Linked DNA regions of Arabidopsis thaliana. The protein of the gene in region 2 interacts with the protein of the main gene of each other region in a pairwise test. Each region holds a gene or a part of one and is shown on either strand. Other genes may lie near its edges.

Region 1 (5,554 bases), on a different chromosome or scaffold from region 2:
GAACTCATCACCATCATGGATCTCATGGATGAGAAGTGGCAAATCAAGTGACAATGATAGTAACCGTTACAAAGACGAGGCTGACCCTTTCTTGATACCTTCAGATTACAAATGGATCGATTCAGCTGAGAAGAAACGTCGAATGAAAGCTAAGAAAGCTAAGAGCAGGAGGAAGAAACAAGCGGCTACAAAAGCCGCTGGTGCTAGTGACTCGGGTACCCGTTCAAATCATGTAGCCGAAGAATGATGAGTCCGGAGTAACTGAATCATTGCATTCAGGTTTTGCTTTGGCTGGATTCAAAGATGTTCACTTTTTGAGCCATCATTGTGGCCTTGAGAAAAGGCTTTTGGTAGTGTTGTTTATTGCTCTTGTATGTCATGTTATTTCTGAAATTCCTTTAACAAACATCTTTGTTCTCTCTTAATGATTAATCCTTTTTTTCTATTCGGTTCGATTTTGACTCCTCTTACTCCCCCAGCATTCCTAAACCATTTCTGAATCGACTTTGAAATTTTTGACATTAATCAGAAAACTTTTTCGGTTCAGGAGCAAAAGTGCAAAGCTAATTCAATAATGAGCTATGAAAGTTTGAACTCCAATCATCTCTTCCATCCTTTTCTTTATAAATTTGATCAGTATATAAATTTTATTTTTCCATCCTGAACAATAATATCATCCCCCATTGTGCAATAGACAACAATTTCGAAGCTGAAACTAAGAAAGAAAAAAGTAACCATTTGTCTGCCTTCTCTGTTTTAATCAGAATCAGCTTTGATTAGGATTAACACAGCTTTCTTTCAATCCAAGAAGCACTTGATCCCAGACTTGGTGAGCTCTAAATGAAAGCTTATCCATATATATATATAAAATCAATTGGGGTATTAGTGTCTCACTTGGCAGTCTTTTAGCTCTTCTGGTTCAGACTCTAACTTGCATGGGAGAACGATGATGGAACTCTCACTGTTGGCTTAAAACCATTAAATAGACTGGTCCTAAGTGTCCTGAAACAACCTCCTAATCTGATCAACGCTGGCTGGAATCAATGTCACCGGACATCGCTTGTACTGTGTGATTACCATAGAAGACGGATATAAGCTAATACCAAGGTTGGGGTTTGGGAATAGAGAGTAATGATTTGGAGAACTCACCTTTGAAACATACTTAAATACGCAAGAATAGCAGAAAACAAATCCAGAGACAGTGACAACTGATGGATTTGCACGTTTTTGCAAGCATAAAGCACAGAGGGATCTGTCTGGAGGTAGAGGGATTCCTTCTTTGGCCATCTGTTACAGAAAAACAAAAACTTTGACAAAGTCGACTGAGTGATGTTTACATAAGTTTCAGATAATGCTACCTGATTGATTACCTTTGGGGCTGGAGGAGGTGGAGGTGGAGGGTACACTGTTGGAGCTGATAATCTCTCTTCAGCGGATTGATACCACCATTCCATCATCTACAAAACCAAAAACACACGAAAATGAGCTAGATGTTTAGGTTCAACTAAATGATTATGCGATGAAAAATCTACCGAGAGTCAAAAACGCCATAAGTATAGCAATAAGCTTTATGGATTTAGCGGTGGCTGTAGCATACAAAATCTAATCTAATGTAATTTAAGCTTAGGACCTTCATTTCCTAAAGGAACCTACTTCTGCTGGAAGCTTTTAAGACAGTGAAATAAGAGAAGTAACATAAACTGGGACATTTATGGATACTTACTTTGAAGATAAAAACTGCTGCAATTAGACCGGTTTGGGCATAGTCAAGCACAGCATATGAGCAGCTAAGAAGTGCCCCTTGCACCGTCTAATTCAATATTCAAAACAATACTGTCAGACGTTGGATCACTAAAGTGTAAGCAGTAGTAGGAATCAGCCTATCTCATTCCTTAGGTTACATGAAGTTTAAGAAAAGTGAAATCATACTTTTAACCATGGAGGACCACGAAGTCTCTCACGCTCATGATTCCGAATCTTTGAAATCCTTGAGGATGTATCCATCTATCTTGGCATCAAAAAAGGTAAAGACGAAGAAAAAAAGTGTGTTAAGACATAACACATGTAAATTTACCACTTTGAAAGGTTTTTATGGGTCAGTCAATGATGGTATAACATCTTGCAGCAAGATGTATGTAGAATTTTAAATAATACCATCCAACAAAGCCAAAGCGCCCTAATTCTATGGGGTGCATAGTAAGATAATGGTGACACGAAATTTCAACCAGAAAGGAGGAAGTTAATACCAGTTCTTGCCCTGTAGCTCTACAAACTTGAATCCCAAGAGCTTGTAGCCCAAGAGAATAAAATCCAGTAGCGTCCAGCAGATATAAGAGCTGGTAAGTGAACGATAATCCTACACAGAGGATCCCATATAAGCTCATTATAAATGATACAGATCAAATAAAATTCTCCATGCCAATGAAACTCAGAGATAGAAGTCTACGCACGAAGCTAATCAGTGTAAACTAAGAAGTGCTCGTAATTATGTTAAAGAATCATCAGCTACTATGCAGTCGAAATGTCGATGCTCACATAAATCCACAATTACCTTCACTTGATGCATGTATCCAAGGATAGCAGACAGCTATAAACTTTTTAATTTTGGTAGCTAATTGTACTCGAACAGAAAGCTCTTCATTCCCACTAGGCTCTCTTGAAACAATTGAATCATCCCCTGTGAAGAAGTCAGCTTCATCAAATCCTTGATCCTCTGCACCCCATAAACTTTCCCGGAGCCTAGCCTCTCTTTCTTTATTATATATAGCATGCAATTTTGACTTGAAATACGGTAACACAACCTAGAAAAAGGCAGTAACCAAGCTTAAAGGCATAAGCTTTATGCTTTCAACATATACGCATTTACAAAGTTATAGCATTTAGGAAAGAGTCAGTACCAGAAACACAACAGAAAGGATTCTCTGACGCTTCTCTAAACCAGAATGTTGAACTTCTTCGCTAGAATCCTTCCTGGCACTGTCTTTCCTCAATCTCAATCTCGCTGATTTCCTCCTTAAACCATACAATGATTCAGCAAAGGAACCATCTGAAACAATTCACAAACCTCTAACTGTTATAAGCAAAAAAGTTCCAGTACACTCTCACACAAAACCTAAAACAGAATCCAGAAGCTACCTGTGGTTCGTAAGCTGTGTCCTTCAAGAATAAGCATCAGAGCAGCAAAGAATTCATCCTCATAGTCTAAAATCTTATGGAGAAACGATCGTCTCAAAGCAAAAACCTAAAAAATCACGAAACAGCAAACAAATATAAGAATCATACAGATAAGTACCAAATTTCAAAATCGAAAAGAGACGTAGGTAGAGAAGGGCATTATACGCCGAGGGAATAGGTGAGAGCGGCGCGAAGGCTAGCAGGAAGTTGCTGAGCAGCAGCCATCTCAAAGAAGGTGGGGCGTGTGCCTTCACCTCCCACCTGAAACAACATCTTCTTCCTCCTCCTCTAATCTCTTCTTCTAGTTAGTGATAGATAGTTTAATAAAGGAGAGACCTTTTGTTTTTGACTGAGAGATTGAGACCTTTAGCTTCTCCAGAATTGCAGAAATTGGTAAAGAAGATAGAACAGACGAAGAAAAGACGCATTTCGAGAGATCATTATTAATTACGTCATAAATAAGGATGTTCTTTAGCCACGTCATCTAAATTGCTGACTCATCAGCCGACAACATTCCAACTCGACAGTGATTTGTCCACGTCATCTCCATTAAGAAGAAATTTTCATTTTCTTGCTGCTGTGATATTTTCAATTTTATATACACAATTACATATGTTTGCAACATCTTTGGATCATACTCATGAGATGTCTAATCTTCTCTAACCCGTTTTCTATTACTAGTCCCAGAAGTAGATTCACTTTGATCCATTGTGCTAGAACCATTCTGCAGTTTCTGAGTTATTGATGGTTCTGAATTGGTTGCTTTATGGAGGAAAGGTTGTGAAAGGTTTGGTGATGGAGCTGAAGGGTCAGCTTCTGGCATTGATGATGAGGAAGTAGAGTCTTTTTTGTTCTCTTGCATCTTCTGTTGTTTCTCAATCATCATCTGAAGATACCGACCTTGTTCTTCGATTTGTAACTGCAGTGATCTTTGGATCTGCATTGTATTAAGACCAATATAAGATCAAAATCACCAGCTAAAACCAAAAACTAAGAAATCAGACAAATGAAGAGGAAAGGACACTGTTTTGTTTTATAAAAGCTTCTTTTAGGCAGTTTGAATTATTATACCTCAAGTTGCTCGTGGAGTTGTTTTTGAACTTTCATCTGTAACCGGAGAGCTTCAGTGATTTCAATGCTCCTGAAGAAGAATAAAAAAAAAAAATCTTAGATATGAAGAAATATTATCCTAGGTGATACTTAGTCTGTTCTGACAGAGAAGTAAAATGTTCCTTACGTCTTCAAGTCAAGAGATTTGATATCTTCAATGGTTTTCAAATTCTTTACTAGAGGTTCTTCTGTCCAAGAAGAAAAGCTGATTATGTATAAAGACGTGTTTCATCACACAAGAGTCTTTTAAATGCCATTATGTTTCCAAAGTATAATAAGCTTATGTGAAATATTGAGAAGACAGTTTGAATCCTTAGATGCCTCAAGTACCTGTATCTTTGGAAAGCTCTGGTTTATACCTTGCAGTTCTGTATTTCTGGACAAGCCAATAATATAAAGACGTTTAAGATGAGCTGTAAGCATACAAACCGAAAACATAGATGGAGAATAGTAACCTGCAAATGGCTTTTGACATGATAAACGGTCAACCCAGGGCTATTGATGAGCTTCAAAACAGCCTTAGGGGTGGCTCCTGTGGTTTGAAATTATAAGCCAAGAGAATAATAATAAGTTGTTCAGCTAAATTTTGCAGGCATGAGAAGGAAAAAAAAAGGGCATACGCACGTTCACTACCACCGAGCTGATTGATAGCTTCGACAAATGCTTCATGAAGTTCTGGTGTCCAACGCATTCTTTGCTTAGATGTCATTGAACTAGCTGGTGGGCTTTTGGCATTAAACGGCTCCATTGATGGATCCACCTGATGCTGATTTCTAAAGACGATCTCTTGCCTTGCTATATCAGAAGACTGTGTTTCTATCTGTAAGACATTATCAGAGTCAGTCTTAATAGAAGAATCATATTTAGCTGAAATAAGCGTAGAGATTCATATTTAGCTGAAAGAAACGAACCTTTGAATATAGATTGAGTACATTAGGATCACCTAGAAGCTCCGACCAATTTGGTTCAAGACTATCATCAGAGATCAACTGATCCGCCCAGTCTGGCCATTCGCATTTTGAAAGCACTTCCTTGGATGAAACCATAGTTCTGCTGCTCGCTGCTTGTGGATCTGGAACAGGAAAATCGAAGAAGCCCCGAATCTGGTCTGAAGACCAAGTCATAATTTTCTGTTCTTGAGGTTGATTGATCAATTGCAAGGAATGTGTTTCCACAGGGCATTCCTGCCTCTGCCCTTCACCAGAGACGTGAGCAACAGTAATTCTGTCTCTTGGCACGGTAGAAACAGATGGCCGTGCCTGGGAGGAAG
Region 2 (6,072 bases):
TTGGAGCATCTGACGTTCACGGCAACAGCTACGCCTTCAGCAGTCAGCGGCTGCCTCGAATCTGCTTCACCACCCATTCTAATTTCAGATCCTAGTTCAACAAATCGCGAAATTGATCGGAGAATCAAAAGCTCTAAACCTAGAAGAAAAAATCGTAGAAGAAGATTTGAGGAGACTCGAAGCTCTAATAAGTCGGTTCTGAAGATTTCTTGAGGAAAGGGATATAAATTATTTTTGGTCGAATAACAAATGAGACTGCAGAAAATTAAAGAGTTATTTGGCCCCGAACGGCCAATTAAATGAGAATCCAGAAATGACTTGCGCTTCAGAGAACGTATCGACGACTCTTACTGGGTAAGATTGGGCCGGGTCGGGTCTAAATTGAGGCATTTGGTATATAGTTCAGGAAGGAATTGGCTGTAACTTGAATCTAATTGAAGATGATGAATCAACTAATTGGATATTCCTTTGCAACATGCCACTTCTCTCTTTGGGCAATTTGGTTTAACCTTTGAACCGGATCAGAAGGAACCAAAAATTTAATGGGTTCAATTTCACTTTGATGTCTATAAACATTTACAGATGTTGTATGTTGTAACAACTTGAAATAAGTTATCAAAGATAAACACCCAAGATATATAGGTTTAAGGGTAGTTAAAGACGAAGAGTGACCACTGATAACAAATACCGTATTGATGCGGCTTTTCTATCAACAAAGTTCACGATCCTATCATATATAAATTTTTATGAATTCGATGAATATATCATTACTGAAAAACACACATTCAAGCTGTTTATTCTATAACTGAGAAGCCAGATGGAGAGACATCAGTTCATGAACCTGTATGCTACTGTCCGATACTCCCCAAGAGTCGTTCTACAGCAGCGTTAACGTTACCATTGGTTGCAAGCAACGCCCTAATGTTCTCTGCTCTGTCATAGAATCCCATTTCCTGCAACTGTTGCAATTGAGTAGCGTACCGCTCTTCAGGAGGAACTGGAATCAAACAGACAAGTTTCAGTGGAACCATCACAACAGATGCGTAAGCTAAAAAAAATTTGTAGTCTCTAACCATTGGATTGGTTCGTGCCACTCAGGCCGCCAGCACCAAGACTGCCAAACATATTCATCAATAAATCCAGCCCCCCGTTATTTCCTGTCCCCATCAGTATTGTCATTCTACTATTAACTTGTATACGATACAATATCTGCTAAAATAAAACATACATGAAAGCAAAGAGAACTAAAGAGTAGCTGCTATACTACGTAACATAACTAAACCCTTTATACTACTGTAGAATAAATACATATAATATCTTTAAGAGTACCTGTGGCAGCACCAGTTTGCCCCGCATCCCTACAGAGAAGATAGATTTGGGAACATGAATGCGGATTGATGAAAATCAAAATATGGAGATTAACACACATAGCTTATGCTAAAAGGCATAATCAAAAACAAACAAAATGTTATGAGCCCTATTCAAGTGTATTCCAACGATTAAAATGCTTTATTTATAGCCTCTTTGATAGATGTTACTAGTGATCAGCCCAGTAAATCATACAAGAGTTGCTGCATTAGTCATGGTTCAATCCTTTTCTTATTATAGAGATCGTTCACAACCAATCTTTTTAGCTAGTTACAACATTGTCTAAACACTAAACAACCCAAAAAACAATATGTAAAGGACATGTAAATGCTCAACTTTGTTTAAGCAAATCCAAACAACGAAGGGTTTTAACAAAACTTACTGGCTGGCTGTATTTCTATTCTGAGATAGTGATTGCTGTAGAGTCATCATTTGCTGAAGACCAAAAAACAATAGAAAACATTAGGTTTAAGAAACTTCTTTACTTTGTCCCAAAAAAAAAAAAGAAAAGAAACTTCTTTACTTGAAAATAGCTTAGATACAAAGAAATGTTTCTTTTGAGAGACTACCATGTTAAAAATTCATATGCATACAGACAATAGGGGACAAACTAACCTGCATCATCTCCGGAGAACTAAACTGACGAAGGAAATCTGGGTTCTGCATCATTTCCCTCAACTGAGGATTCGAATCTAGCATGCTTCGGAGTTGTGGGTTAAGACTCATAAGCTGGAATCAAGGGAAAACAATTAATATATGTTCACAATGGTAAAAGGCTCTTAAGTTCAGATCATTCTAGGCCTACCTGATTCATGTATTGTGGATTGGAAAATACGCTTTGCATCATCTGCGATATGGCTGGGTTTTGCAATAACTGGCTCAATTGAGAAGCATCTGGAGTCGCACCAAGAGGTGAATCCGCTCCAAGCATACCGAGTCCACCAAGGCCTCCAAGGCTTCCAAGACCACCAAGGCCACCAAGTCCAGGGCTCCTCGCATCCCCACCAACATTTGTCCTTCCAGGGGCAGTTGTCTGACCTGTCAAGTAGCCCACAATATGTTCAATTATATTTAGTGTATTATGAGTAAATGTTAAATTAGAAACAATAAGCCAAGAAAATCATATGCAAAAACTACACATAACAACAAATTGTGGTAACTACACTAACTCACCAATTTACTATACACAATATTGTTCCTGAAGCAGAGCAGTGAACAGTAACGTCCATTTCTTATAAACAAGCCACTTTTTCATTTATAAAATATTACTGCATCCTTCAAAAGACAAATAAAATCGACAGGAGATTAGAAGATGAAAATGCAGTTACTTACCACCTGTAGCACCCCAAGGATTAGGAAGTGGATTTGCATTCGGAATAGTCCCCGTTCCAGCATTTGGTGTCGAAGAATTATTAGAAGCATCACTTCCTTGCGTAGTGACCCCCTGGTTTCCCAACAGAGCAGCAAATGGATTGGAGCCTGTATTGTTTCCAGCATTCCCGGACATAGTGGTAGCATTCATTAACGGTTCCTGGACATTTTCATACATACGCCTAAGCATGTTAAATCCCTCAGGCATAGACTCAATATTACTCATAGCCCTATCAGTATTCCGCATCATTTCACGCATAAGCTCTGGGTTTCTTGCCGCTTCTAGAGTTTGACGAAGGATGCTTGGGTCATTGAGCACATGACCAAGCTCAGGATTGCGATCTACAAGCTCACGCATTTGAGGGTTATTCATAATCATACTCCTCATAAACTCTGGGTTGTTCATAAGGTTCTGGATGGCTGGAGTATTCATCATATCTCTAATCATGTTAGGGTTTTGAGCTAGTTGTTGCTGTGTCTGCACAAGATCCGGAAGACCAGCTCCAAATAACCCAGACATAGCATTTCCACCACCCAGAGGATTAAATCCAAGCCCAGGGAACAAAGATTCCCCAGGACTCGCTCCTCCTAGATTCGAGCTATTATCTGAACCAACCCCTCGAGTAACACTAGGTGCAGTGGTTTGGCTTGCGGCCGGAGCAGGAGGTGGTGCTGAAGAAGGTGCAGAGCCTCTAACCATATGAATGGTGTGATCAGCCTGCAAACCTAGGTATAACATGTTCCACAGAGAATAGAATCCACAAGAATTTCAATCAATAAGGATCTACGAGAACAACAAAAGTACCCACACGAATAAATCAGAAACGATGAAGATTACCATAGCTGAGGAGAGTTTGATCGTCCTTGAGGATACGACCCTTGTAAATCAAGCGCTGCTGATTAGCTGGAACATCGCTGCTCTGAGCCACCAACTCTTTGAAAGACTCCACCGTTGAATCGAGACTCGTCTTCACACTAAATTTCGTGCCATTAGAGCACCTGATGTTCACAGCCACAGCTTCTCCTTCACCACTCTGCGGCTGACTTGAATCTCCCTCTCCACCCATTTCTAATTTCGGATCCTAATACTTAAAATAATCGCAGAGCTCGCGAAATCGATCAGGAGCCCTAACCCTAGAAAAATTCGATAGAGATTTAGAAGACTCAAAAGCTCTGAGTCGGTTCGGTAGATTGCTTGACGAAATGGATCGAAGAGAACAAAACAAGAAGACTTCTGCTTCAGAGAACGGATCGAAGGGACCGGGTCGGGTCAAAAACAAAACCCGGTTCGTTCCTTTTCTCACCCGGATCCGAGAATACATACGGCATCGTATAATAATATCATTTATCTGCTTCGTTGAGGCCCAAAGGGCTTTAGTTTATCGGTCCTGCAGTATCGTCTAACTTCATGCATCTATGAAGACTCTGAACGACATCATTTAATTCAGAATCACTCTGGCTTAACTTGTCTCCAGCCAAAAACCTCTTTGCCAAGTTTCCTTCACGAACCATGCTATAACCCGCAACGACCCGAACCTTTCTCTCCTTCACCAACCTCCTCATCATTGCTACATCTTCCCATGATTTTTCTGCAGCAAATGTGCTTGACGCAAGCAAGTAACCTGAAGAACACAAGGGCTCGAGTTCAAGAACCTCAGCTACTACCTCTGAGGTAATGATCAATTTTTTAAAACGGTTTCTGCAACCGCTAAGAATCGCTCCCCAAGCACTAGCCCCTGCTTTAACATCTTCTGGAAGATTCTTGATAAGTTCCACAGCCGTATCAATCTCTCCAGCTCGGCTAAGCATGTCTACAATGCAAGAGTAATGTTGCAATGAAGGTTTGTGATCTTCTTCTACCATTGATTTGAAGATCATGAGACCTTTCTTTACCAATCCTCCATGATTACAAGCTGATAAAGCTGCCAGATATGTCACAGCGTTTGGTGTGTAACCTTTTTGTTTCATTTCATCGAACAATGCTAATGCTTTATCCGGTAGACCATTAATAGCATATGCTGAAATGATCACGGTCCAAGAGATGATGTTTTTCTCAGTGATTTGATCGAAAGTCCTTCTCGCCATTTCTATGGCACCACATTTTGCGTATGCGTCAACAATAGAGGTACCAACTGAGATGTCATTGATGGCTAAGCTTCTCCGGATAGCAATCCCATGTGCCCATTTGGAAGTTCTCAAGTCCGCTGAAACTGAGCATGCGTTAAGAAGACTTATGACGGTGATAGCATTGGGCGTATCCCTCATGTGACAGAAGATTGAGATTGCTTCATCGGATCGGCCAGCATGGGCTAATCCAGAGATCATTGTGCTACATGACACCACATCCTTGTACGTCATCGAATCAAGCACGGTTCCTGCATCATCAACAAGACTGCAGCTTGTATACGCATCAATCAAAGAACTCAAAGCCACTTCGTTTGACTCATATCCACGCCGAATTATTACACCATGTATTGACTTGCAAGGCAATGGCTGCTCAAAAAACTTGCAAACCCGGAGAAGACTCACGACTGTAACTTCATCCACTTCGACCGCCTCTTGCACCATCAAATGAAACATCTCAAGAGCCTCATCGTACCTTTGATTATGTACAAACCCAGCCAAAATCGAATTCCATGAAACAATGTTTCGACAAGTGGTCTCATCAAATACTCTAAATGCTGAATCAACATCAAATCCTTTTGAATACATATCAATAAGTGAATTGCAAACAAACACATCTGCCAAATCAAAACCTCTCCGTATCGAAAACCCATGAACTGATCTTCCAACATCAATGTCCTCCATCACCGTGCAAGCCTTGAGAACACTTGTCACAGTCACACAATCAGGCTCTGTTTTCGCCTCATGAACCATCTCTTTAAACAACTTCAATCCAACAACAGGTTCCTTGCTCTGCACATAACTTCGGATTACAACACTCCAAGAAATAACATCTCTTTCAGACATTTCATCGAACAGTTTACGTGCACTTAAAGAATCACTATCTGCGTACATACACAAGATCGAATTTTGAACAGACGAAATCCCACAAAACCCACTACGGATCACATAGCCATGAATCTTCTCTCCATCGAACCATAAACTACGACACGCATGAATCACAAGAACCAATGTTGAAGTATTAGGCTCAAAACCCCAAACTCTCAACTTCGAAAACCACCATAACCCTTCTTCTTCAAAACCATAATCGAGAAGCCCAAAAACGATAACATTCCAAGACACCGAATCTCTCGAATTCATACAATCAAATTCTCGTAACCCAGAACACAAGTCTCCACATTTCATATAGAAATCAGCAATTGAGTTCCC

Evidence for each region.
Region 1: the proteins of DSK2 (region 2) and PEX12 interact in a two-hybrid assay, tested with the Arabidopsis thaliana proteins (one study listed by BioGRID).

The regions. Positions count from the first base shown.
Region 1 is NC_003074.8:1,184,534-1,190,087, reverse strand, and holds PEX12 (peroxin-12), read right to left. Parts: upstream 3,605-5,554; 5' UTR 3,448-3,604; coding exon 3,340-3,447; intron 3,242-3,339; coding exon 3,136-3,241; intron 3,047-3,135; coding exon 2,898-3,046; intron 2,802-2,897; coding exon 2,552-2,801; intron 2,357-2,551; coding exon 2,247-2,356; intron 2,005-2,246; coding exon 1,930-2,004; intron 1,811-1,929; coding exon 1,724-1,810; intron 1,458-1,723; coding exon 1,150-1,457; intron 1,066-1,149; coding exon 1,047-1,065; coding exon of another isoform or gene 994-1,046; 3' UTR 580-993; downstream 1-579. Other genes in the region: AT3G04470 (Ankyrin repeat family protein), read left to right, coding at 1-247; AT3G04450 (Homeodomain-like superfamily protein), read right to left, coding at 3,824-4,111, 4,246-4,315, 4,412-4,472, 4,615-4,660, 4,740-4,816, 4,909-5,104, 5,196-5,554. UniProt on the Arabidopsis thaliana protein: Component of a retrotranslocation channel required for peroxisome organization by mediating export of the PEX5 receptor from peroxisomes to the cytosol, thereby promoting PEX5 recycling.
Region 2 is NC_003071.7:7,481,285-7,487,356, forward strand, and holds DSK2 (ubiquitin family protein), read right to left. Parts: upstream 3,957-6,072; 5' UTR 3,807-3,956; coding exon 3,578-3,806; intron 3,466-3,577; coding exon 2,701-3,465; intron 2,407-2,700; coding exon 2,174-2,406; intron 2,098-2,173; coding exon 1,984-2,097; intron 1,804-1,983; coding exon 1,751-1,803; intron 1,359-1,750; coding exon 1,330-1,358; intron 1,158-1,329; coding exon 1,074-1,157; intron 998-1,073; coding exon 849-997; 3' UTR 597-848; downstream 1-596. Other genes in the region: AT2G17190 (ubiquitin family protein), read right to left, coding at 1-77; AT2G17210 (Tetratricopeptide repeat (TPR)-like superfamily protein), read right to left, coding at 4,114-6,072. UniProt on the Arabidopsis thaliana protein: Binds and presumably selects ubiquitin-conjugates for destruction. Prefers multiubiquitin chains rather than single ubiquitins, with a binding affinity for 'Lys-48'-linked ubiquitin chains.